Linked DNA regions of Nothobranchius furzeri. Each later gene encodes a partner of the first gene's protein in a complex. Links are inferred from orthologs where the notes say so. Each region holds a gene or a part of one and is shown on either strand. Other genes may lie near its edges.

What was found.
Region 2: med18 (region 1) and med24 share a complex: the UniProt entries of both Homo sapiens proteins name them as parts of the mediator complex. The link is inferred for Nothobranchius furzeri from reciprocal best matches to the Homo sapiens genes MED18 and MED24.
Region 3: med18 (region 1) and med7 share a complex: the UniProt entries of both Homo sapiens proteins name them as parts of the mediator complex. The link is inferred for Nothobranchius furzeri from reciprocal best matches to the Homo sapiens genes MED18 and MED7.
Region 4: med18 (region 1) and med12 share a complex: the UniProt entries of both Homo sapiens proteins name them as parts of the mediator complex. The link is inferred for Nothobranchius furzeri from reciprocal best matches to the Homo sapiens genes MED18 and MED12.
Region 5: med18 (region 1) and med31 share a complex: the UniProt entries of both Homo sapiens proteins name them as parts of the mediator complex. The link is inferred for Nothobranchius furzeri from reciprocal best matches to the Homo sapiens genes MED18 and MED31.
Region 6: med18 (region 1) and med8 share a complex: the UniProt entries of both Homo sapiens proteins name them as parts of the mediator complex. The link is inferred for Nothobranchius furzeri from reciprocal best matches to the Homo sapiens genes MED18 and MED8.
Region 7: med18 (region 1) and crsp7 share a complex: the UniProt entries of both Homo sapiens proteins name them as parts of the mediator complex. The link is inferred for Nothobranchius furzeri from reciprocal best matches to the Homo sapiens genes MED18 and MED26.

The regions. Positions count from the first base shown.
Region 1 is NC_091745.1:72,040,841-72,044,910, reverse strand, and holds med18 (mediator of RNA polymerase II transcription subunit 18), read right to left. Parts: upstream 2,632-4,070; 5' UTR 2,347-2,631; intron 2,022-2,346; 5' UTR 2,005-2,021; coding exon 1,932-2,004; intron 1,158-1,931; coding exon 601-1,157; 3' UTR 501-600; downstream 1-500. UniProt on the Homo sapiens protein: Component of the Mediator complex, a coactivator involved in the regulated transcription of nearly all RNA polymerase II-dependent genes.
Region 2 is NC_091756.1:31,519,125-31,522,624, forward strand, and holds part of med24 (mediator of RNA polymerase II transcription subunit 24), read right to left. Parts: coding exon 3,397-3,500; intron 3,325-3,396; coding exon 3,231-3,324; intron 3,141-3,230; coding exon 3,041-3,140; intron 2,677-3,040; coding exon 2,593-2,676; intron 1-2,592. UniProt on the Homo sapiens protein: Component of the Mediator complex, a coactivator involved in the regulated transcription of nearly all RNA polymerase II-dependent genes.
Region 3 is NC_091742.1:50,786,289-50,790,516, forward strand, and holds med7 (mediator of RNA polymerase II transcription subunit 7), read left to right. Parts: upstream 1-1,428; 5' UTR 1,429-1,570; intron 1,571-2,773; 5' UTR 2,774-2,782; coding exon 2,783-3,547; 3' UTR 3,548-4,097; downstream 4,098-4,228. Other genes in the region: itk (tyrosine-protein kinase ITK/TSK), read right to left, coding at 65-202. UniProt on the Homo sapiens protein: Component of the Mediator complex, a coactivator involved in the regulated transcription of nearly all RNA polymerase II-dependent genes.
Region 4 is NC_091741.1:82,309,236-82,312,735, forward strand, and holds part of med12 (mediator of RNA polymerase II transcription subunit 12), read left to right. Parts: intron 1-3,061; coding exon 3,062-3,180; intron 3,181-3,500. UniProt on the Homo sapiens protein: Component of the Mediator complex, a coactivator involved in the regulated transcription of nearly all RNA polymerase II-dependent genes.
Region 5 is NC_091750.1:26,556,666-26,560,811, forward strand, and holds the start of med31 (mediator of RNA polymerase II transcription subunit 31), read right to left. Parts: upstream 2,801-4,146; 5' UTR 2,651-2,800; coding exon 2,626-2,650; intron 2,359-2,625; coding exon 2,284-2,358; intron 2,211-2,283; coding exon 2,114-2,210; intron 1-2,113. UniProt on the Homo sapiens protein: Component of the Mediator complex, a coactivator involved in the regulated transcription of nearly all RNA polymerase II-dependent genes.
Region 6 is NC_091756.1:57,827,886-57,831,931, reverse strand, and holds the start of med8 (mediator of RNA polymerase II transcription subunit 8), read right to left. Parts: upstream 2,801-4,046; 5' UTR 2,746-2,800; intron 2,601-2,745; 5' UTR 2,484-2,600; coding exon 2,478-2,483; intron 2,249-2,477; coding exon 2,127-2,248; intron 1,633-2,126; coding exon 1,488-1,632; intron 1,414-1,487; coding exon 1,273-1,413; intron 1,177-1,272; coding exon 1,089-1,176; intron 1-1,088. UniProt on the Homo sapiens protein: Component of the Mediator complex, a coactivator involved in the regulated transcription of nearly all RNA polymerase II-dependent genes.
Region 7 is NC_091751.1:71,981,071-71,985,088, forward strand, and holds the start of crsp7 (mediator of RNA polymerase II transcription subunit 26), read left to right. Parts: upstream 1-1,218; 5' UTR 1,219-1,426; coding exon 1,427-1,498; exon of another isoform or gene 1,499-1,595; intron 1,596-2,341; coding exon 2,342-2,416; intron 2,417-2,502; coding exon 2,503-4,018. UniProt on the Homo sapiens protein: Component of the Mediator complex, a coactivator involved in the regulated transcription of nearly all RNA polymerase II-dependent genes.

The DNA.
Region 1 (4,070 bases):
AGTTAAGGACCCAAGGCAGCTGTGGAGCTTTCATGTGTAATGGTTCCAGTTCAATTTCCCATGAAAAAGGGGCACTAATGGGTTAACAGTGGAAACGAGAGGGGCAGGGAGCGAAAATCAATGCTTTTGTTGAGGGAAAGAAAGGAAGGCTTTCACAGGTCTATGTATCATTAAGCAATTGAGAAAGCTAATTAGAATGAGGTAAAAGATGTGCAGATCTCGCAGCTAATTATTTCCATGGCAACCACAGCTCCAGTAGATGATGAGAGGTAGCATTCAATTTGTTCCAATCAAGGCAAAGACAAGAGAAAGAGAGACCCCTAGTGGACGGAAAGAAAAACGTCCACAGCAAAAACCACCTCTTATTCAGTAAAGCATTAAAAGGTTCTTTGAATAAATAGCTTTAGCTGTTAATACACTATAATTTTCATCAACATGAGGAATAAATGAAGCATTTTTTAGATAGTGAAACAAATTCAAAAACAAATAAAACTCTCGAATAAAAGTTGAGCAGTATTTTATTTTCTATTAAGATAAAAAACAAACAATTAAACAAAAGTAGCTACATTAAATGAGTCCATGTTAGTCTGAATTCTACTTCTAATGTCTCTGCTTGCTTGGGTCAATCTTCTCCAGGTGAATCAGAGGTTTCAGTTGCTCTGCAAAGCTGCGCATGTCCTCTGAAACCGTGTCCTGGCCAGCAGGGGCCAACACGCTCAGTTCAACTAGGTGCGAATTTGACATTCGCTCTGTGTTTTCCGTGTTTCCTGGTAGCTGGACCCGAGAAACGTTGCAAACCACCACTTTCATAGCTCCTTTGCGAAATATGTGGCCGCTGGTGACAAATTCGTGGTCCATGCGGAAGCCCATCTCGTTCAGGAACTCTGGAAGGCTGTGAGAGGCAGCCACGTCAACGCAGTTGCGTACCAAGGCGTAGCGGTTTTTGTCTCCCACTTCAGGTTGGCCGAGATAACGCAGATGCCATGGAGCATTTGGGTGGGAGAGGGCGCGCCGGGCACGCAGGATAAAAGGATTTCCCTGCTGGCCTTTCAGAAGGTACACCAGCTCATGGTCTGTGAAAGTCTCGGGTTCCATGTTGTCACACAGACCACGGAGGCGATGCAGCAGGCTTTCCAGAGCCAGATCTAACACGCTGCCTGGATTCAACAAAAACAAAGAAAATAATGCTTCATTGAAGGAAAAATAACAGCAATCATTTTCTAACATGAATAATTCAAAAATAAAACAAACATCTTATGTCACTCAAACTTTATCTGAAACAGTAAAGGTATAAAACATGTATTCTATAATCAGTCTTCATCAGAATATGTTTTTCATGTAACACGTTTCCTTAAACTGTCAGATTAGAGGTTAATCCAGCTTTTGAGGACTTTTTCCACAGTTATGCTTTCATGGAAGCAGAAACAAGATTCTGAGATTTTACAAATTAGTAAAAATAAAATGACTAATAACTGATAGTTTCAGTTTATGGTAGAAGATCTTTTAAATCTTAGTTATCACCTACAAATATGTGTTCCTTATGCTGTACATCTTTGGAAACCCAATTTAGTATTTTTATTTTGTTGCTCTTAGTGGTTTGAAGGTTACAATAATAGCTTACTGCCGTTGTGTATGTACCTGCACTTTTGTTTTTATTTTTTTCTTCTTCCTTTTCTCTAAGCGTATGTTCTGCTCTAGAGTGAATGTCCCCCCTGGGATTAATAGCCTATTCAATTCAATTTAGATTTTTCCCCATTAACAGTCATCCATCTTTCATTGTTGACATAATAGCTGATATAAAATACTACATATGGCCACTAATGCAAAACTGACAATTGTATAAAACGTTGAAATGTCTGAAAAGTAATTTTTCTTGTGTACTTAAAAAGCACTCAGGGAGACTATTTTTATTTTGTATCTCACTAACTCACCTTGTAACAAATATTCCATCATATTAATCGTCCCACCGGTCACAGGCATCACGGTAACAGGAGGGGCCTCCATCTTTTCTCAGGTATCTGCTTTTGTCCCAATTTAAAAAGAAAAGCAGTCAGTAAGCTTAGCTCAACATGCTAATAAATAGCTAAATATTTCACTTTAAGAAAAAGGTCGAGGTGGTTCTAAACTTATTTTAATCAACACTTTGCATGCTGGCTCACTGTTACTTGATAATATGCAGAGCTTAATGTAAATAGCTACTTATGATGTTAACTTGTTCGTTATGCTAGCTAATAGTTAAAAGGCTAAATTATGTTGCTAAGCTAAATCATTCATACAGTTTGCGACTCCCCCAAAAAGTCTACTTTTACATGAAAAATAGCCATAAAGCAGAATGCTACTCCGTACCTGTTAAGGTAAACCAGAATAAATGTTGGCGTAATGGTTTGTTAAAGACCCGGTAAGCCTCTTCCGGTTAGCATGTAGCGTTAGCTAACCGCTAGTTCGCCAAGTTTTTACGTCAGCAACATACAAATGAGTCACTCCAGCTGTTCAAGTAAAAAATGGAGGAAACGTAGTCAAAATAAAACCACCCACGCATGTGGAGATTAGACAAAACATTCAATATGCATCAAAAATACGAGAGCATCTTTCTTTGGCTTGTTTTTGAAGCGCGTTACAACCGCTATGATAACACTCTGCTGCCACCTACTGGAGAATGACGGTTTTACAACATCTATGTCTAAAAACTACGGTGCACAAACGAAATGACAGGATCTTCGCATTAATATTCCACATTTCCTGAAATAAAAATAGAAATGAAGTTCATTCTGCAACTGCAGAAAGTAAATTAATGATCCAACAGTTTATAAATAATCATGAAAAAATAATCAGTCCAGTCACAACTAATCTGTTTCTCTATTATGATTTTATTCAGTTGTCTTCATCAGATCATATTTTAATCGCTTATAACTCTTTCTCAGAACGTCATTTTAAAATATCGGAACAGTTTCTTAAAAATAAATTCACTTCATTGTCTTTGGAAATTTTTAAACATTTAAAATTTAAATTGTATTATTTTATTCATAAATTCAAAATCTGCAAAATGAGAAATGTATCCACATTTCAGCAATATATCGTAACATATTATGGAAGAGTATGTATAAAATAAAATATATTTTAAATGTAGAAATTTATTTATTTATTTATTTATTTATTTATTTATTTATTTTGGGCAAAAATTGAGAAATTTTAGATTTTACCTCCACAACCCTGTGGGAGTAATAATTATACATACAATCATATTAGAAGTTGTTGACAAATTGATCACTAAATCAGAGGACAGTGTGGAAACTACAATCACTAACTCTTCAGTTTAGCTTTCATCTCTGCCAGGTGTGTTTCTACTACACTTTTATTTCACCATAAATGCAGTCAGTTTCACATGCATATCTATGTCTTCTTGCGGGAGGTGCCTTGATGACAAGAGAAGAATAAATAACAGTCGGGTTTTCTTCTTCTTCCTGCAGCATAAAACAAGACATTAATTACCTTAGCAAAACATCACATGTGGTATTTCATACATACACTTTATAATACTCATCATACCTTGCTGCCAAATCCGCAACAAGAGCTGTGAAACGGAAATGCTGAGGAGAGACAGAAAGAGAATCAGGTTGAAGGGCAAACCACTGTGCATGATTAAAATCTATATGTAAATTACAAAAAACAGGAAGTCTCAACGAAAACCTACAGCTGCAAATCCTACCTGCTTGCAGTCTTGATTTGAAGCAAAAAATCACGAGTGCTGTTACAGCTAGACATGCCGCAGTGATTGATACTCCATAAATGGCTGGAAACGTGTTTTCAGTCTCCTCAGATTCACCTGTAGAGTCAACAATATGTTTATTTTAATTGTTTAATTTTAATTTAGAATTTAAAAAAGAGGGTCGCGGCATTCACTCGCCTGCTGATGTGTTTAAAACTGCTGATGCTGATGTGTAAGTGCTGGTAACAGTCGTGCTATTGTCCAAAATCTGACCTGCCGTACAAACGAAAACCCCAGATGGAGCTACGTCCACTGATATTATCGTATTGTCCACCTGAAGCCTTGAAGTCTCTTTTCTAGTTTC
Region 2 (3,500 bases), on another chromosome or scaffold:
CAAAATGAAAAACATAAAAAATGATTAAATGAATGAGGAAAGTTGGAAATCTTATTTCCGTTTTTACATGTTTTCACTTTATTTCAAACTATAATTTTGTGTTTTCATCCCATTTAGCTTGAATTTTATTTAAATATCTTCATCTTTATTTGTTTCAGGAGCATTTTTGTGTTGCTTTGTTTGAAGAATGAATCAGAACATCATAAAAACTACTAGAAAGATGTATTTTTAAGTATGTTTTGAATGTTTAATGTTCTTCAATCATTTTTAGAAGTATTTGTTGTGCTGAAATTCATCTGGTATGTGAGAATGTAAAACCCCTAATTTTGACATAAACATATAAATAGAGGAAAGAAACATACTGTGATATAGATCTTAGGCCACGTGGCCCATTTCTACCCAAATGAATGATACACCAGCTTTTACCAAGCACCCAGTTATACACTTTTGGGGAATCGTCAACACGTTTGACTAAGGGGGTACTCATGGTGCGAGAAAACGGCTCAGGAGTCCTAGCGTCAAAAAAGGTTGGGAACCACTGGCTTAGGCAACTGGTGTCATGTAGCAGATTTGGTAGTCCAGTGGTTAGAGTACCAGGCGGGCATGTAGTTTTGGGTAAGTTCGCACCCCAGCCTTGGCAGTAACTGTTTTTTAGCTACACTTTTATTGGGAAACTGTTTAAAAGGTAAGGACTAATCTGTTTTTTTACTTTCTTTGGTCATTTAGCCAGAGTGAGTCTATGTGAGGTGAGCAGAGTAAATCAACTAAAATGCTGCTTGAAAATGACCAAATTCAAAGATCTTTAGAGACACAAAATATTTTACAGAAAATAATTAAACTAAAATATGAAAACATGAAATCTGATTCAGGTGGCTAAATAAATTTATTCCGACACCACCGGGATTCGAACCCACGTCAGCACATGGCAAAACTGAGACAGCAGTCAGATGCCTTAACCGCTGGCCTGCCATAGTAAACAGCCTGTATTTGTATAGCTCCATCTTAGGGTTCTACAACCCCCCAAGGTGCTTTACAACACAATCAGTTATTCACCCATTCACATGCCGGTGGGGAGGAGCTATGATGTAGCCACAGCTGTCCTGGGGCACACTGACAGAGGCGAGGCCTGCTGAACACTGACGCAACCGGTCCCTTCAAACACCACCAGCAGGTAAGGTGGGTTAAGTGTCTTGCCCAAGGACACAACAGCGGCATTCTCTGGTGGGAGCCAAGATCAAACCTACAAACTTCAGATTACCCACTCTACCTCCTGAGCTGCCCCCCCCCCCCGGCGGAGGCACAGGAGTAAAGTGCTCGCCCCGTAATCGGAAGGTTGCAGGTTCGAGCCCCACTCAGTCTGTTGGTCATTGTGTCCTTGGGCAAGACACTTAACCCACGCTACCTGCTGGTGGTGGTCGGAGGGACCGGTGGCGCCAGTGCTCGGCAGCCTCGCCTCTGTCAGTGCGCCCCAGGGCAGCTGTGGCTACATCGTAGCTCATCCCCACCAGTGTGTGAATGTGTGTGTGAATGGGTGAATGACTGATTGTGTTGTAAAGTGCCTTGAGGGGTTCCAGGACTCTAGAAAGCGCTATATCAAATACAGGCCATTTTATAACAAACACAGCAACTGACTCACCTATGACACTGTTGTAGTCACGTTTTGTCAGAGCGGGCGTGGGCGGAGTTTCACTGAAATTAAGCATTTTATTTCTGGGTATCAACTCATGCTGAAGAAAATAACTTGTATTTAAGATAAATGACATCTCAATATTGCCAATGGTAATATTTTACCATATAATCTGCCTACCTTTGTTCTCAAAGGTTTAACATAGCATGAAATGGAACCTTTAAATGGCACACACTGACACCTAAATCAACCCAATAACTCAAATCTGACCGAGTGAAGCGTTTGAAAATCTCATGACCTTCCAAAGCTGCTCTGACCACAATCACCTGATGTGTTTGTAGGGGTAAAGGGGTGGGCAGCACCATCAACTGTGGAGCACGTTGGTGGCAGTATCATTATCGGTTAAGCTGACAGTGCAGTCGGCGGACTGCATTCAGCAAAAATAACCACGATGGGTTAGTGTCATGAAAACCAAACAACTTAACCAATGCTGACATAACTTAACTGTTGAATTATCTGAAAACAAAGAGTAAAACAAGTTGCCCTTCAGAACAAGTTTTAGGTCACGGCTCCTTCTTATTAGTCCCATTTGTTTAAACGCAAGAGCGTTTGGTCACTCCCACCTCAGAGTATGCATCTTACTTTGTTTTACCCTCTGATTAAAGCTCCTTGTTTGTTTGTAGATAAATATACATTTAAGCGGCTAAATGATAGGTTGATAAACCACCTGAGCTACATCAAAGGAAAAAGTTTTATCACTTAAACATGAAAATACTCCAAATCTATTTAAGACTCGAGGTGTCTGTGGTGCCATTTAAACCATGTCTTATATTCTGATTTTGTATTGTTGTTCTGTAATTAAGAAGCCTGCACTCCAAAAATCACTGAGCACGGCCGCTGGTCTGACCAGAATAGTTTCTAAATGATTCTTATTTGAGGTTTTGAAAGAACAAAAGCACTTTTACTTTCAGTCTTGACAGCAAAGTGTAAAGGGCCTTGAAGTTTTTCCTGAGTCATGCAACGTCTTGTCTGGGAATTTGTCTCCGAAGCTGCAGCCAAAAACAGGGAAAATAATTAAAAATTCCAGAGCTGGTGATCTGGAAGCTCATTATACTGGTCATGTGATGACGAATTGAGTAACAATACAACACTGCTGTTGCTCAGAGTTTTAATCTGGCAATATTTTAACCCCACATGAGGCTCAAGTTAGAACCTGCAAGCCTGCAAACCTAACGCCACCGTTCACGTCTGGGATCACTGGAAGCCAAGTTTATCCCTTCTGAGTGGGACAAACCGGTTTGGAAGTGGATATTAGAAAAAGCATCTGAATAATCCCCAGCTCAGACCGAGAGACAAATGTCTGAAGCTCCATAATTCAAGCGTGCAACCAAACACAAACTTTATTAGACGGACCTGGACTGGACAGAGCTGCAGGCTCATCCTCATTGGAGCTCAGCAGCCGCATGAGTTTGGACGGCTGAGTATCGTCCAGAGGAAAGAGGCTGTTGTAGTCCTGTGGTTAGAAAGATGCTCATGAAACGCAACCATGACATTACATCACTCATGCATTTCAACATGCCATTCCTGGCCTTTGCAGTTTTACCTCTATGTCTTCTCTCTGCCTTTTTCTCTGCCGTGCTGAGAGGGGGCCTTTGTGGTGAGAGGAGAAAGAGCTGAGCGCACACCACACAGACAACCTGAAGGGGGAAGAAAGTTAATGCAAAGCAGCTGAAATGCAGATTTAACCAGCAGAAAGGAGCTGCTCTTACTTGGCCAAAGCCTTCCCAGGAGGGTCTGAAAGGCTGTGCCAGTGGGCGGAGTCAGTGAGCAGGTTGGGTAAAATGGTACCGAGCAGCGTCAGGGTGATCTGATG
Region 3 (4,228 bases), on another chromosome or scaffold:
TCAACGCCATAGAAAATGTGACTTTAAGAAAACCACATTTCAATACAAAATCGTGTGGACTTACCCCCGGACGGCACTCCGAATACTTCAGATCCTGAGTGTCCAACACAAAAAACCTCTCTTTGTAGTTATTTGGTGATGTTCTTTTCTTTTGCTGGGATTTTTTGATCATGGTTCCCCTCAAAATCACCCTGGGGAACATTGTCAAGAAGAACGCAGCGAGCGTCTGCGAATGGTTTTGTCACAAGCAGAGCCTCGCAGAGTCAGAAGAAGAAAAGGCAAAGTTGTGGATGATAAACTTCGTAGATGCTGTGGAGCTTCCGGCGTGAAGCTGCGGCAGGCAGTAAACCACATCCTTGTGGCAACAAATGATTTGCGCAAGCAGAAATACACACTGTTTGATGCACAAACACTGTAGATGTCTACCCTGCACATGTACTTTCACTAATGTTATAGAGAATTAACAAGTTAAGCCCAAAGCAGGACTGTGAATGCAGAAATCCAGGTTTTGGTAGTACTTTTTTAAACAATTGGGAAGATAAAATGAGTAACAAAACACAAAACATCACTGAAAAAAGTTAAGATAAAGAAATATCTCTCTTTCTCTAAATGTGTCTTTGCATTTAGGGGTTACACGTCAAAATATTGTTATTTTTCAGAGAAGTTTAGACTGTTTACAGTGAATGCAGTCCATTAAATTCTTGATTAAAGTAAAGAGTAAAAACTACTTAAGCCACATAAAAATTTACAAAACTCATCTAGGTGACAAGGAGTAAATAAATAAACGTGAGCAAACCGGTTCGGAACATTAGGAATTAAAATGCTGCTCACTATCTTTTCACAAGAGAATAATAGAATTCAGTTTGTCATTATCAACCCAATTTCTTTTTAATATCGATATCAACCCTTTTACACCGTTCTGTTTGTGGCAGGTGTTTCACATACATAAGAAATCACAATCATCTTTTTTTATTATTATTATTTTAGGATAAAATTCATAGATTTCTGCAGATTCTGAAAGAGGACAAACAGATCACAACATGCCCTATAGGTCATAAATTGTAAGTCGCTTTGGATAAAAGCGTCTGCTAAATAAACATAAAGAACAAACAATAACTGACATAGTTTGTAAAATGAGAACCCGAAGGAATTAATATACAGGTTATTGTTTTTATGTCTTTAAAATTAGTATTTTCATTCAAAAATATTCAACAGTTATCTGAATATTTTAGTAACTTTTCTTTTTCATGTATAAAATCAGTTCAGTTTGGGCATCAAACGGTACTTTTTCCATCGATCCTCTGAAGAACAAAGTAAAAGAAAAACAAATTTTTCCGTGCTTCCGGATATTTCTACCAATCAGCGTTGAGCTCTTTCTGTGACCGCACCCCAATCAGCGTTAGGAAAACAATCACGAGGACAGTTCAGCCAATAGAAATCAAACAGAAACGACTGGTCTTTTCTGCATTTATCGAAGAAGCTATGTTAGCCCTGATCTAATTTTCCAACGATATTTGATTAACGTTATTATTAGAAGTATATGTTGTGTTTCTAAAGGATTGTTCTTAAGGTGGGTATGAATACATTTACTCCCTTCTCATTTACCTTTTATGTAGTTCGCTTCATTTTTGACGTGCCCAATTAACTACCGGGATTAGCGGTGGCTATAGTTAGCTAGGTTTCTGTACAAAATGCAGCGGTGACGCTAACGTAGTTCTGCTTGTAGTGTTTGTCAATAACACATTGAGTCCGTAACAAAATAAAGGTAACACAGAAGACAAAGGTTCAATGGTTAGGTGCGTGCTAGGAGTTGAATTTGACTACTTAAATACCTAAGAACAACGTTTCAGCCAGATATTAAACCTATAATTATTAACTATGGCTAATAAAGCCTAATTTTACTTCAAACTAGATTGCAAATGTTTTACGCCAAAATGAGCAGTAGTGTGTATACTATAATTTACGTGTCATTTTAAGTTCATATCTACTTTTCCTACCAACAACAGCAGTAGGTGCAACTTAAAAACCCATCAGAATCTAGTTTTGCTTTGAATGTTTTGTGCTGGACTGGTGCTGCAACACATTAGTTTAGATTTTAGACTAACACTTTACTGGAAGTGTATGCTGATTATTGAATTTGCCCCTCCAGCCTAATGATAGAATCCTGCAGTTATTGGGAGAATGACGTTTGTCGAATTTTTAAATATATTTTATGTACAAGGATTTTGAGAATCTTTTATCGAAACTCTCAAAAAGTAAATCAAACAATAATAAATTCTTAATAAAAACATTTTATTTGTTACTGCAGTTTACATTTAACAGTATTTATTTGTACAAATGAGGGGCATTCAGGCTTTTACTACAATCTGTTATGTGTAATAGTGTATATCTTTTGATGCAGAGCTCTACACGATATGCTGTTACCTAATAAGTTATTGTGCTCATTAGGTAGCTGTAATGTATTGTGTAGTAGTAGTAATCAGCTGATAATGTCATGTTTTTCAGCTTAGCCATCAGCCACAGCTGGTTCTACATGAATGTGGAGCCGAGTTTTAATCTGAAGATGGAGATATAACTATGGTTTTGGGCTGAAATATTAAATTTAGAATAAGTTGCACTAAACTGCCACACTGATAATTGCACATGTCTACAGCACTATTAGACACTCATCTGTACAGGTTATCAGCTAAAAAAAAGTTCATTTAGGCATTTCTTGATCTTTAATAGTGCCTGGAATTCCTAATAAATGTTTTTTCTTTTTCTATACTTTCAGGTCTGCATCATGGGTGAACCACAGCAGGTCAGCGCCCTGCCTCCACCACCTATGCAGTACATTAAAGAGTACACAGATGAAAATATCCGCAAGGGTCTGGTCCCAAAGCCGCCTCCACCCATTAGAGACAGCTACATGATGTTTGGCAACCAGTTCCAGTGTGATGACCTTATCATTCGACCTCTGGAGAGCCAAGGCATCGAGAGGCTCCATCCAATGCAGTTTGACCACAAGCGGCAGCTCAAAAAACTAAACATGTCAATTCTTGTGAACTTTCTGGACTTGTTGGACATTCTCATCAAGAGTCCTGGCAGCATAAAGCGTGAAGAGAAACTGGAGGACATGAAGCTTTTGTTTGTTCACATGCATCATCTTATAAACGAGTACAGGCCACACCAAGCCAGAGAAACACTGAGAGTCATGATGGAGGTCCAGAAGAGGCAGAGACTGGAGACGGCAGAGAGGTTCCAGAAGCATCTGGACAGGGTGGTGGAGATGATCCAGGGGTGCCTTGCATCTCTACCTGATGACTTACCCCAGTCGGATGTAACAGACGGTGTGTGTGTTGGGACCAAGAGTGTGTCTGCTGGATCTAGTTTTGGTTGTTCTTCTGGACAGGCCCCCATTCTGAAAACCGAACCAATGGATGTAGAGGACACGGGCGCCAGCTGCATGGCTGCAGGTGATCAGGACAAGAATGTCCCAAGTTCAAAAACAGACAAAACATGGGACAAGGATGCTGCCATGTGTAGTATAATAGATGAGATAGCATGAAGATTTACAGCACATGCATGTTTTTACTTTTCACTCAGCATGAAATACTTTGTGTGGGATAAAAATACTATTATTTGTACATGTTCTTTTCAAATTCAACTAAATGTACTTGTAAATATTTCCTTAGCGTTTAAATCTTATACAGATCTTTGTGTTCACTGGGCTCAATAAATCTATTTGAAACCGCAGCAGGAGTTTAGTGCCGTCACAAAAACGATGATCTAATATGGTTCCACATAAACACAAAGTGCTTTTGTTAAGAATTTGTTGCTAATTCTGACGCTGTGGTTTGCTGATTATGCATTAGCGGTAGATGCGTAGATCCTTTAGCTAGTCGGCATATCAAAGAGCTTGATTCATCAGAGACCTGAGTAAAATTTAATTAAGTCATTCTGCCTTCTTTTAAAATGTAATGCAATGTAGACAAGTTTAGGGTTGGGGTGTGCTGAATTGAAAGGTGACATTTGATAGGTTTACGTCTGTCAGTCGTCTGTACATGTGATACTTTATACATACACTATTTTTCCAATAAAAATTCAAATAAAACCTATTTAATAGTGATGTGTCGGTCGCGAACGAACTGGTTCTAAGAGCCGGCTCTTTGAAGTGAACGACAGGAGCCGTCTCGTCATTGGGAGCCCTCCCCTCCCCCCTCCCCTTTTGCTTTGGTGAAAGCTGCAG
Region 4 (3,500 bases), on another chromosome or scaffold:
AAAAATAGACAATTGTGATTAAAGAGAGAGAGAGAGGGTGAACAGGAAAGAGGGAAATCAGTGGATCCTGAGGAAGGCGGAATAGGTGGGGAGAGCAGAATAAGGAGAGGGTGATGAAGGTCACGCCAAAAGCCAGCTTGAACAAGTGACTCTTCAGCTGTTTTTTAAAGGAGACCACTGAGTCCGCTGATCTCAGGCTCAGGGGGAGAGAGTTCCAGAGTCTGGGGGCCACAGCAGCAAATGATCTGTCACCTTTGGTCTTTAGCCTGGTGCTGCACAACCAGTAGGCTTTGATCACTGGACCTCAGGGTCCTGCTGGGGGTGTAGGGACTAAGAAGATCACCAATGTAAGATGGTGCTTGTCCATGGAAGGCCCTATAGACCAGAACCAGGATCTTGAAATGAACCCTGAAGTTGACTGGCAGCCAGTGAAGCTGGAGGAGAAGCGGGGTGATGTGGGTGTGTTTGGAGGACTTGGTCAGAAGCAGAGCACAGACAATCTGAACCACCTGTAGACGGTTCAGGGAGGTTCTGCTCAGACACGGGAAAAGAGAGTTACAGTAGTCTAAGCGTGAGGAGATGAAGGTGTGGAGAACTGTCTCAAGTTCAGAGCGGGACAGAATGGGACTCAGCTTAGCAATGTTCCTGAGATGGAAGAGTGAACAAGAGAACTGACATGAGAATCCAGGGTGAGAGCTGGGTCAAAGGTCACACCAAGATTCCTGACAGAAGGTTTGGTTTGAGAAGCAAGCTGACCAAGAGAGTCTCTGACTTTGGGAACCAGCTTGTCTGGGGCACAGATGAGGATCTCAGTCTTATCTTCATCCAGCTGAAGAAAGTTCCCAGCCATCCAGGTTTTGATAGAGTCTAAGCAGGTGTGTAACAGCTGAAGCTTAGACATCTTATGGGGCTTAAAGGAGATGTACGGTTGGATGTCATCTGCATAAAGATGGTAGGAGATTCCTTTGAAGGAGCTCAGGATGTGCTGAAGAGAAAGCAGATAGAGGAGGAAGAGCAGAGGCCCCAGCACAGAACCTTGTGGGACACCATGGGTAAGCGAGGTGGTGGAGGACCTAAACTTGGAGACGGCCACAGAAAAGGAGCGCTCAGAGAGATAAGAGGAGAACCACTCCAGAGCATTGCTTGATAGGCCTACCCAGTCTCTCAGCCCCTCCAGTAGCAGGTGATGGTCAACAGTGTCAAAGGCTGCAGTCAGGTCCAGCAGGACCAGAACAGAACAGTCCCCTGCATCACTGTGAGTCAGAAGGTCATTAGAGACCCTAAGAAGAGCTGTTTCAGTAGAATGAGCTCTAGGAAAACTGGACTGGAAGCTATCTTAGGGGCCAGTCCCATCTGTACCGGGTCGGCCCGGGCCGGGTAGCCCCAGTCGGCCCCAGGTTGGCGCGGTTGATTCCACACATCCTTGCCTTAAGCCCATGTGGGCTGATTCTACCCACCAATCAGAGGCTTGCTCTAATGGAAGGTGTGAATTTGCTGTCAGCAGTGGGTGTGTTGGCCCTGGTCGACCTGAAGCAGACCCCTTCGAGAAGAGGGCTGAGAATGAGCCTTGGTTGGCCCGGAAAAATACCAGGCCACCCAGATATGTAAACAACCTACGCTACCCGGCCCGGGCCGACCCGGTACAGATGGGAATGGCCCAATAAATGTTGCTATGGAGAGAGGGGTCGAGACTCAGTTTTTTAAGAAGCGGGTGGATTACAGCATTCTTAAAGTAAGCAGGGACCTGACCAGAAACCAGAGAAGCATTAATTATAGAGAGCACGCTGGGACCAATGGACAGAAAAGCACTTTTAAACAAAGATGAGGGTAAGATGCCGAGGGGGCATGCAGAGGTCTTCATAGAGTTAACTAGTTTGGTTAACTCAGGCAAAGAAACAGGAGCAAAGCTATCTAGGATGATGGGCCTGGTTGGAGTCGGGAGAGGCAGCGATAAGGCTGAAGGAGAGATGCTAGATCTAACCTTATTGACTTTGTCCACAAAGAAAGACAGAAAGTTCTCACAGTCTACAACAGAGTGGATGGAGGCTGTAGGAGTGGCAGGAGAGACGATGGTGCTGATGGTGTTAAACAGCACCTTGGGGTTCCCTTTGCTCTGGGACACCAGGTTGGAGAAATAGGAAACCCTAGCGTCTCTGACTGCAGAGTTAAAGGATGTCAGAAGATCCTTTAGGTGCAGCAGATGGACGTGGAGATGGGTTTTCTTCCACAAACGCTCAATTTTTCTGCATTGGCACTTCAGGCTGCGAAGGCTGTCATTAAACCAGGGAGTAGGGTTCACTGCAGGAACTGATCTGGTTCTGACAGGACAGATGTTGTCCAGAATGGAGAGGCAGTGCTCGTTAAACTGAGAAGTTAAGGAATCTGGGTCATTATCAGAAGAACAGGGTGGATCAAAAGCAGCAGAAAAATTGCTAGCTGTGCTCTCATTAAGAAAACGAGAACTAACTAGACGGCGAGCAGGAGGTGGGGACGCAGAAACTGACAAGTTAAAGAAAATGCAATGGTGATCTGAAATATAAACGTCCTCAGGACAAACACTGTCAGCATTTAGACTCAGGGTAAAAACAAGGTCTAGAGTGTGTCCCCTGGTGTGTGTGGGGCCAGAAACACGCTGGGTAAAGGTGTGTGTGTGTGCGTGCGTGCTTGTTTCCACTCCATCTCTATGCTAATGGCTCTCATCTGTTCACAGTCACATCTCCTCAGATACAGGTGACCTTATCAAGGTGATTTAAGATTTCCTGCACAGATTGGGACGATCGTGTGACACATACCTCTAAGCTCATGATGTGCCTCAGCTCTCAGCTGTGTTTCTCATAAATGAAAAGCACAACTCCCATTTTTTATTCCTTTGAAGTACCCTCTATCACCATGTGTCGTTTTGCACAGAAGCTTCAAATAAAAGGAGGCTGAAAAAAAGAAGAGAAAAAGATGACAGCCTAACCGCTTATGTAGATTTCACAGCTGGCCTAGTTGGTAGACTGGAAAGAATTCCATCCACCAATTTTCTCTTTTTTTAATCATCTCTCTCCTGCACAAACAGGAGGAGAAGAAGGGCAAAAGAGGAAAAGAAGTAAGCCAGAAGCCTTTCCTACTGCAGAAGACATCTTCTCTAAATTCCAGCACCTCTCCCACTTTGACCAGCACCAGGTCACCTCACAGGTATGGAAACCAGTTTGTCACCTTTCACTTGATGTTTTTGGACTGGCCATAGATTAAGAAAGCAATTGAGGAGAGTACAGATTGTCCTGTAGAGCAGTGGTTCCCAACCTTTGATCCTTGAAGACCTGTGTTCTAGACGAGCCAGAACCCCCAACCCCAGCACTCCTGCCTGCATACGCACATTAAATCTGATTAGTTACAAACGTTACACAGACCTACAGAGTTTTAACACTTATGGAGTTTAGATTATACCATTGGGTGTGTTATTGGGATTTTAGGTTGGGAGCCACAGCTGTAGGGCATGGTTGCTGTCAAGCAGG
Region 5 (4,146 bases), on another chromosome or scaffold:
CAGAAAGTGTTAACGGTTATTTTATTTTTAAAGCAAGAATGTGGATTTGAATACATGCTCATGAATTTCAATTCTGGTGTATAACTCTTATGGTATCAGTATGCTACTCTTAAATTTTAGCTTAAGCTTCATATGGTGTGGGGGGGTTGGGGTTATAAGCTTCTGTCTGTACCCATTTTTTGATTGTCTAAGTTGTGCGTTTACTTGTAAAGCCACCATTTAAGAAATCGTGTTACGATCATGTTTATTAGCTCCTGATCCGATCGTTTTCAGCAAAGCATCAAAATAAAAAAAGATAAAAAAACACTTACAAGTTGTCCTTTGTCACTTTCATTTGTTTGGGAAGTACACCGATTTAAAAACGCGTTTACATTGTGAATATATTTAAAGGTTGTTTCCTCCTTCATTATGCAGCTGGACTGATGGATGCACAATCCCGTAACGGATAAGGTAAGCGGCACCTCTGCTGATAGGCTAACTTTTAACGCACAACACCTACCTGTGCTTTGGGCTTTGGGGCTGCAGGAAACATGTTTGTATGCAATTATTTTTTCATATATTAGCGTACCTTTCTGTCAGCTGGTTCCACTTTTTTGTCCGAGTTCACTGTGAACTGGGACTGTAAGTGGCAAACTGGGAATTAATGGAGACCGGTGATTCATTTTGACACCCAAAGGGGAAAGAGAAGGTAGTTTGTTTGAAGGCAGAGAATCATGGAAACATTCTTCCAGCATGTTGAATGCCCAGTATGCACTTACTACACGTGGCTGTTGCTCTGCCTTTTCTGTCCGGTTTAAAATACCACCATGCTGCAGACGTTAGCCTGTTTGCTAACAGCTGCAGCGTGGTGTCTGAATCTCTGCCTGATGTAAGTTGTGTGATGTTAAGGTGCTGTTTTTGCATACGAAACAAAGAATATTGATGTAGAGGAACTTGTTGAAATTAAAACTAAACTGGTAGTATTCCATTGGAAATTCTTTATCTCAGAATGAATTAAAAAAAGTCACGTTTGTTGTTTTAAAAGGTTAAATTTGATTAATTTCTCCCGATCCTTTTAAAATCACGCCACTGGATCGGAGCATCCCTACTTTTCAGGAAAACCACCTTTTATTAAACAACAACAAAGCGTGTAAAAATATCCAGGACAACTGCAATGTCCTTGAAGGGGGGTTCATCATGATGAGACGTACCCCAGTGGCCCCATGTACATCTTAGAAGAAACACCGATGCAGTGTTTGACTGATCGTCACTTTAAAGAACAAGTCAACCCCTACCAGAGTCTAATAACTCCACTTCCACTTCATGTTTGAAAAATGCAACAAATGCTGTTGCCTGGCAGACCGAGAGGACGGAGCCACTAACAAATACACACACACACAGGCTCACGATAGCATTGTGACATCATAATGTACCAGTTTACATCATAGCATACCTCTTAGCCAATAGCGGTTGCAGATTTAAATTCAAATACAGTGCAGAGTTTTTACCTGACAACGGCACAACACTGCCAGTTTTAGGCAGAATATTTAAATTTTAACTAAGATGCACTGAAGTGCCAAATTATTGACGACACGTGTCTGCAGCACGATTAGACACTCGTTTATTTAGTTTATCAGCAAAAAAATAGTTGATTTGGGGGTGACTTGCTCTTTAAAGAGCAAGTCACCCCCAAATCAACTATTTTTTTTCTGATAAACTATATAAATGCGTGTCTAATTGTCCTGCAGACACGTGTAGTCAATAGTTTTGCACTTTAGTGTATTTTAGTTAAAATTTTAATTTTCTGCCTGAAACTGTCAGTGTTGTGCCGTTGTCAGGTAAAAACTCTGCACTGCATTTGAATTTAAATCTGCCACCGCTATTGGCTAAGAGGTATGCTATGATGTAAACTGGTACATTATGATGTCACAATGTCGTGAGTGTGTGTATTTGTTAGTGGCTCCACCCTCTCGGTCTGCTAGGCAACAGCATTTGTTGCATTTTTCAAACATGAAGTGGGAGTGAAGTGCGCTTCTTGTAAGGGGTGACTTGCTCTTTAAAAACAACATGAGTTCCCCGATGAGCCAAAAGTACGACCAGCTTGGTCTGCTTGTGGATCCCGGACCCTTCTTACTTGAGGAACTTGGCATATTCAGGTTCCTTCCAGTAGAGCAGGTACTTCAGGTAGTTGATGAAAGGTCTCTCCCTCAGGTAACCCCTCTGAGCCAGAACTGAAACAGAACCAGATGTTTCATTCTGTGAACGTTAGGAACCCGCTTCTCTCGCTGTGGATCAGTCACTCACAGTTCAGGTAGTTCGGGTTGGCCAGACACTGGACAAACTCCAGTTCGGACTGGAATCGGTTCCGAGCCTGTTCATCTGGACCACATAAACATCCGGCACAACAGAAAACACGTTTAGTTCACCAGACTCCACTTAAAAACCAGACACTTTATTAAAGTGCTTCTATACTTTCCTTAAAACTTGTTCGAACAACTAAAAACACTAAAAGTGGGAAAACAACACGAATTTTAAAACTAACGGCTTCGCATATTAACCAAAAATCAACGTAACTGCTGTAATAATAGTTTAAAACCGGAATGTTTGTCTCCGTTTAAAACCGAAGCTAAAACATACACTACCAACCTGTTTCCATGACAACAGGAGTCATTGACTGGGGTATAAACCTAATATTTTCAAATTTGAACACAAAACTAAGAAAGCACAAATCTTCAGAGCCTCCGTCTTTGTTTAAGTTTAACAAACGCCATCAAACGTAAGCGGACTCTTGTGACGGGAAACCGAGCGTCCTTCACGACATTCACTACAGTTTACGGCTGCTGTAGTGCTTCTTTCTGACCACTAGAGGTAGCCACAGAAATAGAAACAGAATTTATTTGAGGGCAGTTAAAGCACACATGATATAATATAATATAATATAATATAATATAATATAATATAATATAATATAATATAATATTGACCTATTTCTCCTTAGAAAAGCTGGATTAAGCAAACATTTAAAAATAAACTCATCCATTATTTAGGTGAAGAATATAACTATAAATTATAGTTCAAAACTATAGTAATTGCATAACCATTTAATGTCTATCAGACTAACTAGCTAACTAACTAACTAACTAACTAACTAACTAACTAACTAACTAACTGAGGGTCTTAACAGTGTGGTATTCCCCTATAACGGCTGCCCAGCCCTGGGGCCTCATTTATAAAGCTTGCTTACTCACAAACAGGGTCGGAAAACTGTGTAAGCAACTTTACAAGCAAACTTTGGGATTTATGAAAGAAAACTTAGCGGAAGAATGTACACAACTTTAAGATGACTAAGCACCTGGCTTACGCACATTTTGGACATGGAGAGCACCTGCAGTGCTGCTGCTGAGAAGAATAAAATTATGAAATCCTGCAGCATTATCACTTGTACTGCTTCGTTTTCACACAGAACAAGACCCCCCCACACGCACACACGCACACACACACACACACACACACACACACACACACACACACACACACACAGCCTGACGCGCAGAATACGGAATGCAGAATATCAGCAGGGGGACAGATTGAGAAGGAATGTCATGCGTCTGTGACAGTGTGTGTCCTGTTACTGTAACTCGATTTATCATGCACCCTGGCTAGTTGAATAGGGGAGATCTCCATTTGGCTGACTGGTTAGCACATGTGACTTTCACCTGGGAGTCTGGGAATCGAATCCTGATTGGACCATCTTTTTTATATCTGCCACAGATCTCTCTGAAGAATTTACAACATTGACGGCTTCAGCAACGCTGCGTCTCTCCGTGGATTTTCTCTTATTTGTTTTGCAAAAGTACTTCCTTTCATTTCTCCACCTCACCCACAGGTACCTCAACTTCTGCTTCTGTGATATTGTGCTTCCTTGATCTGCCTTGATCTACGGTCGCCATGTCATTGGATGTGATTCAAGTTCTTGTGTGAGCCTTGAGCGCAGCTTTGTTTTATTTATACTCTACAGAGAAAACTTGCTCACAAAGATAAGTTTATTTTCACTCTACATTGTAAAGTATGAAAATAAAGTTTACACAACCATCTCGCGGGCCGGATCCACACACATTATATAATATAATATTTTAATGACCTCTTCTGTTGCTGCCACTTCAGCTG
Region 6 (4,046 bases), on another chromosome or scaffold:
GAGAAACAAGATGATCACTAAAATAACTCCTGATTCCCAGTATAAAAAGACCAATATACTTATAGCTCATAGTCTATGACCCAAGGGCTATAGACCTTGGTTTAACTCATGTTAGTCTAACCAGTACAGACCCAAATACCAATATCTTGCAAATACTGACAGCAAGAATTATACAGTGGCATTTATAACAAATAAACGCAAATAAATTGATGTTCACAAAATGTTGCATAACATTTATTGAGTCGTGTCAAGGTGCTGTAGGAGAGTGCACTAGCACCGTGTCCTCAGAGAGATTAGTTATTATTTATCAGCGTGAGGAACTTATTTCTACCTTATTTATAAACTATTTATTTACAGGTCCATCAGTTAATGTAATAATTGTCCCAACCAAAGCTGCACCCCCCAACCCGGTCTCACAGCAATCGGGGGCAAGCTGCACGTGTGTTTAGCACGCCGCACGCGCACATTTAGCTGTTTTTAGAGGCTCAGGAGTCCGCAGGTGCGGTGTGTGTGTTACTCACTCTGGTTACTCTAACAGGGAGTCGGCTCTGTGAGCCGTTTCCTTAGCGACTGACACATCACTACATCATTCCCTTTCCTAATGTCCTGAAGAACGGTCCGGAGCGCAGGCGGAGTGTTTAGCTAACCTGCAGGAAATGTCCACGACAGTTATCCAGAAAGTAGCTAAGGGTTTCCAGAGATGTTTCTGAGGTGTTTGCTAGGTACTTTTAAGATTTAAAAAGTCAAGAAGGGGGTCTGAGAAGCTGCTAGAAATAGCATCAAGGAGGAGCGCTTCATTTGCAACTCAGGACAGCGTAAGTGGGAGGAGCAAATAATTGGCTTGTTTTGTTTTAATAATCGTTCAAAACTCAGATCGTAATTGGGATTAAACTTCGATTAATTGAGCAGCCCTAGGTTAAACCACCAAATGGTTCTTGAGCACGGCCATGTCTGCAGCTCACCGCTTCCCCAGCGTATGGGTCGAATGCGGAGAAAAAATATCACTAGTGTGTGACGACTAATGGGACTTTAACTTTTAAACAACTTTTTCTAATGGTAAAAAAATGTGCAGCAAAACCTGAACACACCTGCGCTTTCTGCATCTCGGTCTTCCCGTGGGTTGTTTAGCTTCTCCAGCAGATTGGAGCACATCTTATTCAAAGTCTGGATCTGTTTCTGTTCATGCAGACAAATGAAGGTAAACAAAGCAGAGCCGGATGAAAGCTATCAAATCAGACAACTAACAGGACACAAAATATTATTCCACACAACCTGTGCTGCATCAGGACCTATCCGTGCTGCCTCTGCACTCAGCTGTTTTTCCTGCTCCTCCACCTCTGGATCAGGCTTGGTCCTCAAGTAGTCTGGAACAATCTCATGGCTGAACACCGGCACACGCTTCTCTGTGAGTTTCTGAGAGGCAGTGAGAAGCTATTAGTGAGCTTAACTCAAAAATAAGTAGATGAGACTGAGATGCTGCTACTCACCGCTAAGTCATCATCTCTTTCTTGAGATAAGACCAACGGAATAATAACCTGGCTGCGAAAAGATGGCGTCTTCTCATTCTTGAGCAGTCTGTTGATGGTATTCAGTTGACCAGAGAGGAGTGCAAAGTTATCCAAAACAGATGGCCTGAGTCAAAGCAGAACACAAAGTAGCGTCTGAGAGGAAATTTTAATCAAAAGATCCGCATCTGGACTAAAATATTTTAAACTAAGGTTATTTCACTAAGGACTGTGCAATTAACCTAATTTACAATTTTTATTTCATCCTTAGTTAGCACTAAAAAATGACCAACAGGAACAAAAATAATCATGATTGTTTTCGTGATCAGGCAGCACCATTTCACTAGCCTAGAAATTTAGACCAACCACAGCAATATCAAATGAAAATGACCCACACTATAGCGCCTTTCAGAGTCAGGGGATTCCAAAGTGTATTATTTATCCATTCACACACACATTCACACCCTGGTGGTGATGAGCTATAATGTAGCCACAGCTGCCCTGTGGCACACTGACAGAGCTGAGGCTGCCAAGCACAGGCATCACCGGCCACCCATCTAATGCTGCATTTCTTTACCGATAAGATAGTACGTTTCTATTTTAATAATAATAATAATTTACCAGGTCAAACGCTCATATTCATTTTCTAACTTGGCAATAAAACTCTGCAGAGCGTTTTTAACGTGAGCCACCAGAGAGATCAGCGTGTCCACAGAGGCTTCCAACTGCTTTTCTTCCCTTTGCTGAAAGACACGTGAAGAACGATCATTTTATTTCATTTTGATGACTGACAAACAAACGAGACAACAAATATGTTAGCAGGGAAAAGCTACGTGCTACATAGCTTCGCAAATGAAGGCTAGTTAAATTATCTTTAAAGAGCAAATATATTTGATATACCAGTGAACATAATAAACTACAACAATGTCGCCTACATTTGTTTTACTTTATTTTCCTATTATCAACGATTACCTGCATTGCTGATCTTAGCCGGATGCCTCTGATGAACCGTTCTTATCACTTCCGGTGTTACAAAAATATGAGTCCCCAAAATATGTTCCACCTCAGCTCCGCTTGAACCATGCCACCAAAGTGCTATACAATCAAAATAAAACAGATAAAACCAGCAGGGACAACTAAAAAACAATATACACATAACAGTATAAGAGCATGTAAAAATATCAGCAACAGCTAACCCACAGAGTTAAAAGCCAGATCATAAAAGTAGTATTTTACAAACCTGTACTCATGGGGAGAGAGAGCCTAGTGGTTAAGGGAAGGGCATTCCATAGTCTCGGGCCCGCTACCGAGAACGCCCTATCCCCTCTTGTCCTCAGCTGAACTCTGGAAACCGAGAGCAGAAACTGGTTCACAGAAAGGAGTGCCAGACCAGGAACATGTGGCTGTAATAGGCAGGGGCCAACCCATTAAACAATTAATTCTAAAATTGACAGGGAGCAGTGCAGAGCAGCCAGAATTGGAGTCGTGTGTTCATACTTTCTCTTGCCTTCCAAAAATCTCACTGCAGCATTTTGAACAAGCTGTAAGCGAGCTACAGTACTCTGACTTACACCAAATAAGACAGTTACAGTAGTCAAGGTGTGAGGTGATTAATTAATCAATGTATTCATTCATTCAGTCATTCATTTATCAATGTAATAATTAATTGATTTATCAATTAATTTGTTTAAAAATATATTCATATATATCATATATTATATTTTATATATATATATATATTTATGTTCTTATAAATAATAACAAGAATAAATAATTATTTTGAATATATTTATTTATAGCAATTAATTAATAATTAATCAATAATTAATTAATTTATCTATGCATTCATTCATTCAATGTAATAATTAATTGATTTGTCATTTTATTTATTTATAAATATATTAATTTATATTATATATTCTAATATATATATTTATGTTCTTAGAAATAATAACAAGAATGAATAATTATTTTGAATATATTTATTTATAGCAATTAATTAATAATTAATCCATAATTAATTAATTTATCGATGTATTCATTCATTCAATGTAATAATTAATTGATTTGTCAATTTATTTATTTATAAATATATTAATTTATATTATATATTCTAATATATGTATTTCTGTTATTATAAATATTAACAAGAACAAATTGTTATTTTGAGTATATATATATTTATATTAATTAATTAATAATTAATCATTAATTAATTAATTTATGAATGTATTCATTCATGATGGATATAACTGATTTTGACATCACAGGGTTATTGATGTAACAGTGTAGGTGTTTGTTTAAACAGAAGGTCATCAATTTGATCACATTTTAGAGTGGTGAAGAATGACCTCTTTGATCACCCTCCTGTTATCTGTAACTTCCTGAGACAAGATGAAGGTCCAACAATCTGTTGATTAGGTTACCCCGGTCAGCTGGTTCTAAAGAACTGTGTGTGGGGGTTGATCTGTAACTTCTGGGTGTGCCTTCCTAAATAAAAGAAGCTCTAAGGCTTTGCCTGATTGTGAGTGCAAAATGCCT
Region 7 (4,018 bases), on another chromosome or scaffold:
TACGATTTAACAATAACAAACATTCAACTGTGTTAGGCTGATAAGTCTCTGTCATCTGCTTTGCTTTTGAACTATTATTCATTCAGATAGTGTAAAAAAAACGCTCAGTGGGGTCAGCTCTGAGGAAGATCGCAGACACAATCAAAAGTGTCAGCAGGTAAAAAACCTTCCCCGTGTTTCAAAAAGAACCTAAAAAAGCGGTCAGAAGAAAAACACAAAAGATGTTTGTAGTCTTTAGAAAAACTGCTGGCTCATCAAATCCCCCTGATTAATAAATACAAGGAATTAATGCCACACTTACTAATCATGATTACTTTAGGTAGACAAACTGTAGTTCTTGTCTGATTTCTCACCTGACACCGTGTTGTTCTATAGGCTTATGTAAAGTATGAAGACAAGCACACTGTCCAGTTACATTAGTAATTGTAATTTCAGGATTTGTTGTGCGGCGAGCCATGACCAAGCTGTCCTGTGATGTCTGCCGTGCCAGCCTGGTGATGATGCTGCATCTGCCTGTGATGACCAGAGCTACATTTGCTGTCTCTGCAGAACAACGGGGTCTTGTGGTCCCATCTGAAGGTGCTGTGAGGGTCATCAGAGCAGCAGAGTGGGCAATTCGCCAGGCATCAGTGGGCAGACGATCACAGCCCATCAAACCACTGGAGGTCATCTACATCGTGCACAAGAGGATCGGGTCAGAGGATGTGTTTTTGCTCGGGGAGCTCATCAGTGAGACACCGTACGGAACTGAGTGTCACTCCCGTACACTGTTGACATCTGTTGTCTCCCTGTTCTTTAAGCTGAGGATGCACCACCTTGCAAGATTAGCCACTCGTAGCTTTCAGTGTGACAGCATGAGCCAGAAGCTCTCAAAAGCTGTCCTTTTCACAGGTCCGTAGGAAATCACAATGTGCTTTAGCATCTGTCTTAGATCTGTTATTTTTATAATCACAAACATGTATCATCTGTAATAAACAGGTTTTTCATAACTGTCAGTCCGTCATTCAGTCCACCAAGTTGCTGCATAAATAAACTTGAATTTAATTTAATTTAAACGTTTCATATAAAATCGGTCAATCAAATATTTACTGAAAAACAACTCACAAAGTTTATATTTAAAAACGTCACTGTGGTCGGGATGTTTACTTGGTTACGTACGAACGTGATGACGTAGACACATCGTATCCCAGCATGCAGCAGGAGGCCGTTGAGGCATCCAGCAGTTGGTAGTGAGAGGAGGTCCGAGGCAGCAGCGACTCCGCTCCGCTCACATATTTCCGACTCCATGTGAGATCAACTCAGACCTACATGCGACAGAAAGCATGCTGCTCGGGCGCCCGACGTGTTCCCGAAGCGGCTTCTGAGTCACCCGGCTTTCGTTTTGGAGGATTCCTCCCTCCATCTCCTGGATCGCACCGAACAGGCAATGACAACGGTCTCAGCAACCCCGCAGCAGATGAAGGACCGGCTGCTGCAGGCCATTGACAGTCAGAGCAATGTGAGCAATGCTAAAGCTAACGCTAGCTTGTTTGCCTATCAACATCCACGCAGCTGTTCGGGTGGCACGTCGCTGTTTATACAAACTACGCTGAAAGGTGCGCTCGGCCTCGACACGTCGGATGTCTCGGTGACAAAAAGGCTCGGGGCGAGTTGACAGCTAGCATGCCAGCTAATTTAGCAGCAGCGCTGCGTTGATTGGACGGATATCTGCCGTTATGTAGCCTGTTAGCTGCTAACGTAGCTTAACACCAAAGCAGATTTGGTATAAAGGAGCAATCCAGTCGTTGTTTTACGAAATCATCTCATCTAAAGAAAAGTTTAAGTTATCCCAAACAGCACAGTTTTAGTGAAAATGTTTTATTTAAACAATCACAAAGTTTAGGGAACCAAGTGGCTGGAATAGCGTTGAGGAAATGCTCCTTCCTTCTAAAGTAAGTTAAATGCTAACTACCCTGACTAGCTAACACAGGCAGGTCCACCGACTCGGGCTAGGGCTGACGCTGTCGACAAGATGCTCGGTTTGCTCCAAGTTCATAAACCTTTGCTGAGATGATTCCAGGTATTTTTGAGTGTCTCTGTGCCACATCAGCTTTGCAACATCGTTCGGTTTCTGGAGCTAAACATCCAGCTGAGTTTCTCCCGATGAACATGTTGTTTTCCACCCCGGAGTCAGGGAGCAGTTAGTCCAGATCTCTGGAGTTCCTGTTACTGTGGGAATGTGATTGGGTGGGATTGTCCAGTGTGATTACATTTTCATCCACAGACTACAGCTGTAAATCTAAATATTACTGCCACCAGTAGAAGCTGGGGGTTACTAACTGCTGGCATGTCCTTGTTGCAGATATGCAACATGGTGGTTGTATTGGAAGTGATCGCTTGTCTTGAGAAGTATCCGATTACCAAAGAAGCACTTGAGGTAAGAATGAACGTGTCATAGGCGGTTAATGCCTACAGAGGCTGTGGTGCCAAAATAGTTTTCACTTTTTAATTATTTATTTTCAGGAAACTCGACTTGGAAAACTGATTAATGATGTAAGGAGGAAAACCAAGGATGAAGACCTTGCAAGGCGTGCAAAGAAACTCCTGAGAAACTGGCAAAAACTGATTGAACCTGGGCCGGCTGTTTCAGCAAGTGTCCCGGGGTCTACCAATGGCAGTTCCCATCCCTGCAAAACCGATCCCTCTCCCCCTGACATTTCTGTATCGGGGAAAGCGGTCACAGAAGTCACAATCCGAAGTGATGCTCACAACACATACTCGCCTAAGGCTGAGAAGTCAAGTAACCGCAAGCGGCGGGCAGAGCACAGAGACAGTGGCGTGTACGTAACAGAAAAAATCTCCAGGTTGTCGGCGTTTGATGACTCTGTTTCTCCGCCACCCACCAACGGGACTGCTGGTGGTGCCGATGCGTTGGCCGACCAGGAGGTCGTTCCTTCTCCTGACAGGCCTCGGACAGACCACCTTGAAAATGACAAAGGAAACAGAATTCCAGTTAATGCTGTCAAGCCCCGTCCCAGCTCCCCTGGCATGGCCAAAGCACCTAGCACTTCCTCGTTGATTAAAGTTGCTGTGATGCAACAGCAAGCTAAACTGGAAGAAGGGGGCGGGGGCTATTACCCAGCGAGGAGTCCCCGCAGTCTCACTTCCAGTCCCAGGAGCCTAAAGCAAGACCCCGTTTCTAAGCGTTCAGCGTACGTAGCAAAGGGAACGCCGGTCCCCAGCCCATCTTCTAGAGACTCCCCCCTGTTCTTCTCCCAGCCTCTGTCCTCCCCAGCACCGGTGTCTCACAGTGAAAAACTTTCTTCTCTTCGGTCTTCAGTGCCCTCTGCTAATTCATCAGAGGTATTCTCTCATTGCTCTCCCCAAGATCTATCTGCAACACTGGATTCCCCCTCCCCCCCGCCTCCCCCGCAGAACTCAGAGGTCCACAGGTTGGTGGTTGAAAGAAGCTTAAGTGTGTCTGATGACCCTGATGGGCCAGTCCTTAACTCTGAGCATAAAAGGAGGAAGTACAGGCCTAGAGACTACTCCGTTAACTTGGATGGCCTGAAACTAGAGGACACGACTAAACCTGTGCGGTTAAAAGAACGCAGACTGACATTTGACCCGGTCACTGGTCAGATCAAACCTCTGGTGCATAAAGAACTTTCTCCAACAGAGGACCCCCCCACTCCGGACCTGGGAGAGTCCAGGCAGAGAACTGAAGTCGTTGTCCAACAGCCCCCTTGTGCAGCCCCCGCCCCAGGTCCCAGCTCAAACCCCTTCCACCAGACCAACTGGAAGGAGCTGACTAGAAATGAAATAATCCAATCCTACTTGAACCTTCAGAGCAACGTGCTCACCTCCTCGGGGGTCCAGGCCCCTAGCGCACACTTCTTCATGTCAGAATATCTAAAAAGGGAAGAAAGGGAGACTAAAGACTCAAATAAAACACACGTTTTGCAGACGGACCATTTAACAGGAGATTTACCAGGTGTGAGTCGGGAGGTGACGGATGAGGACCTGGACAGAATACACA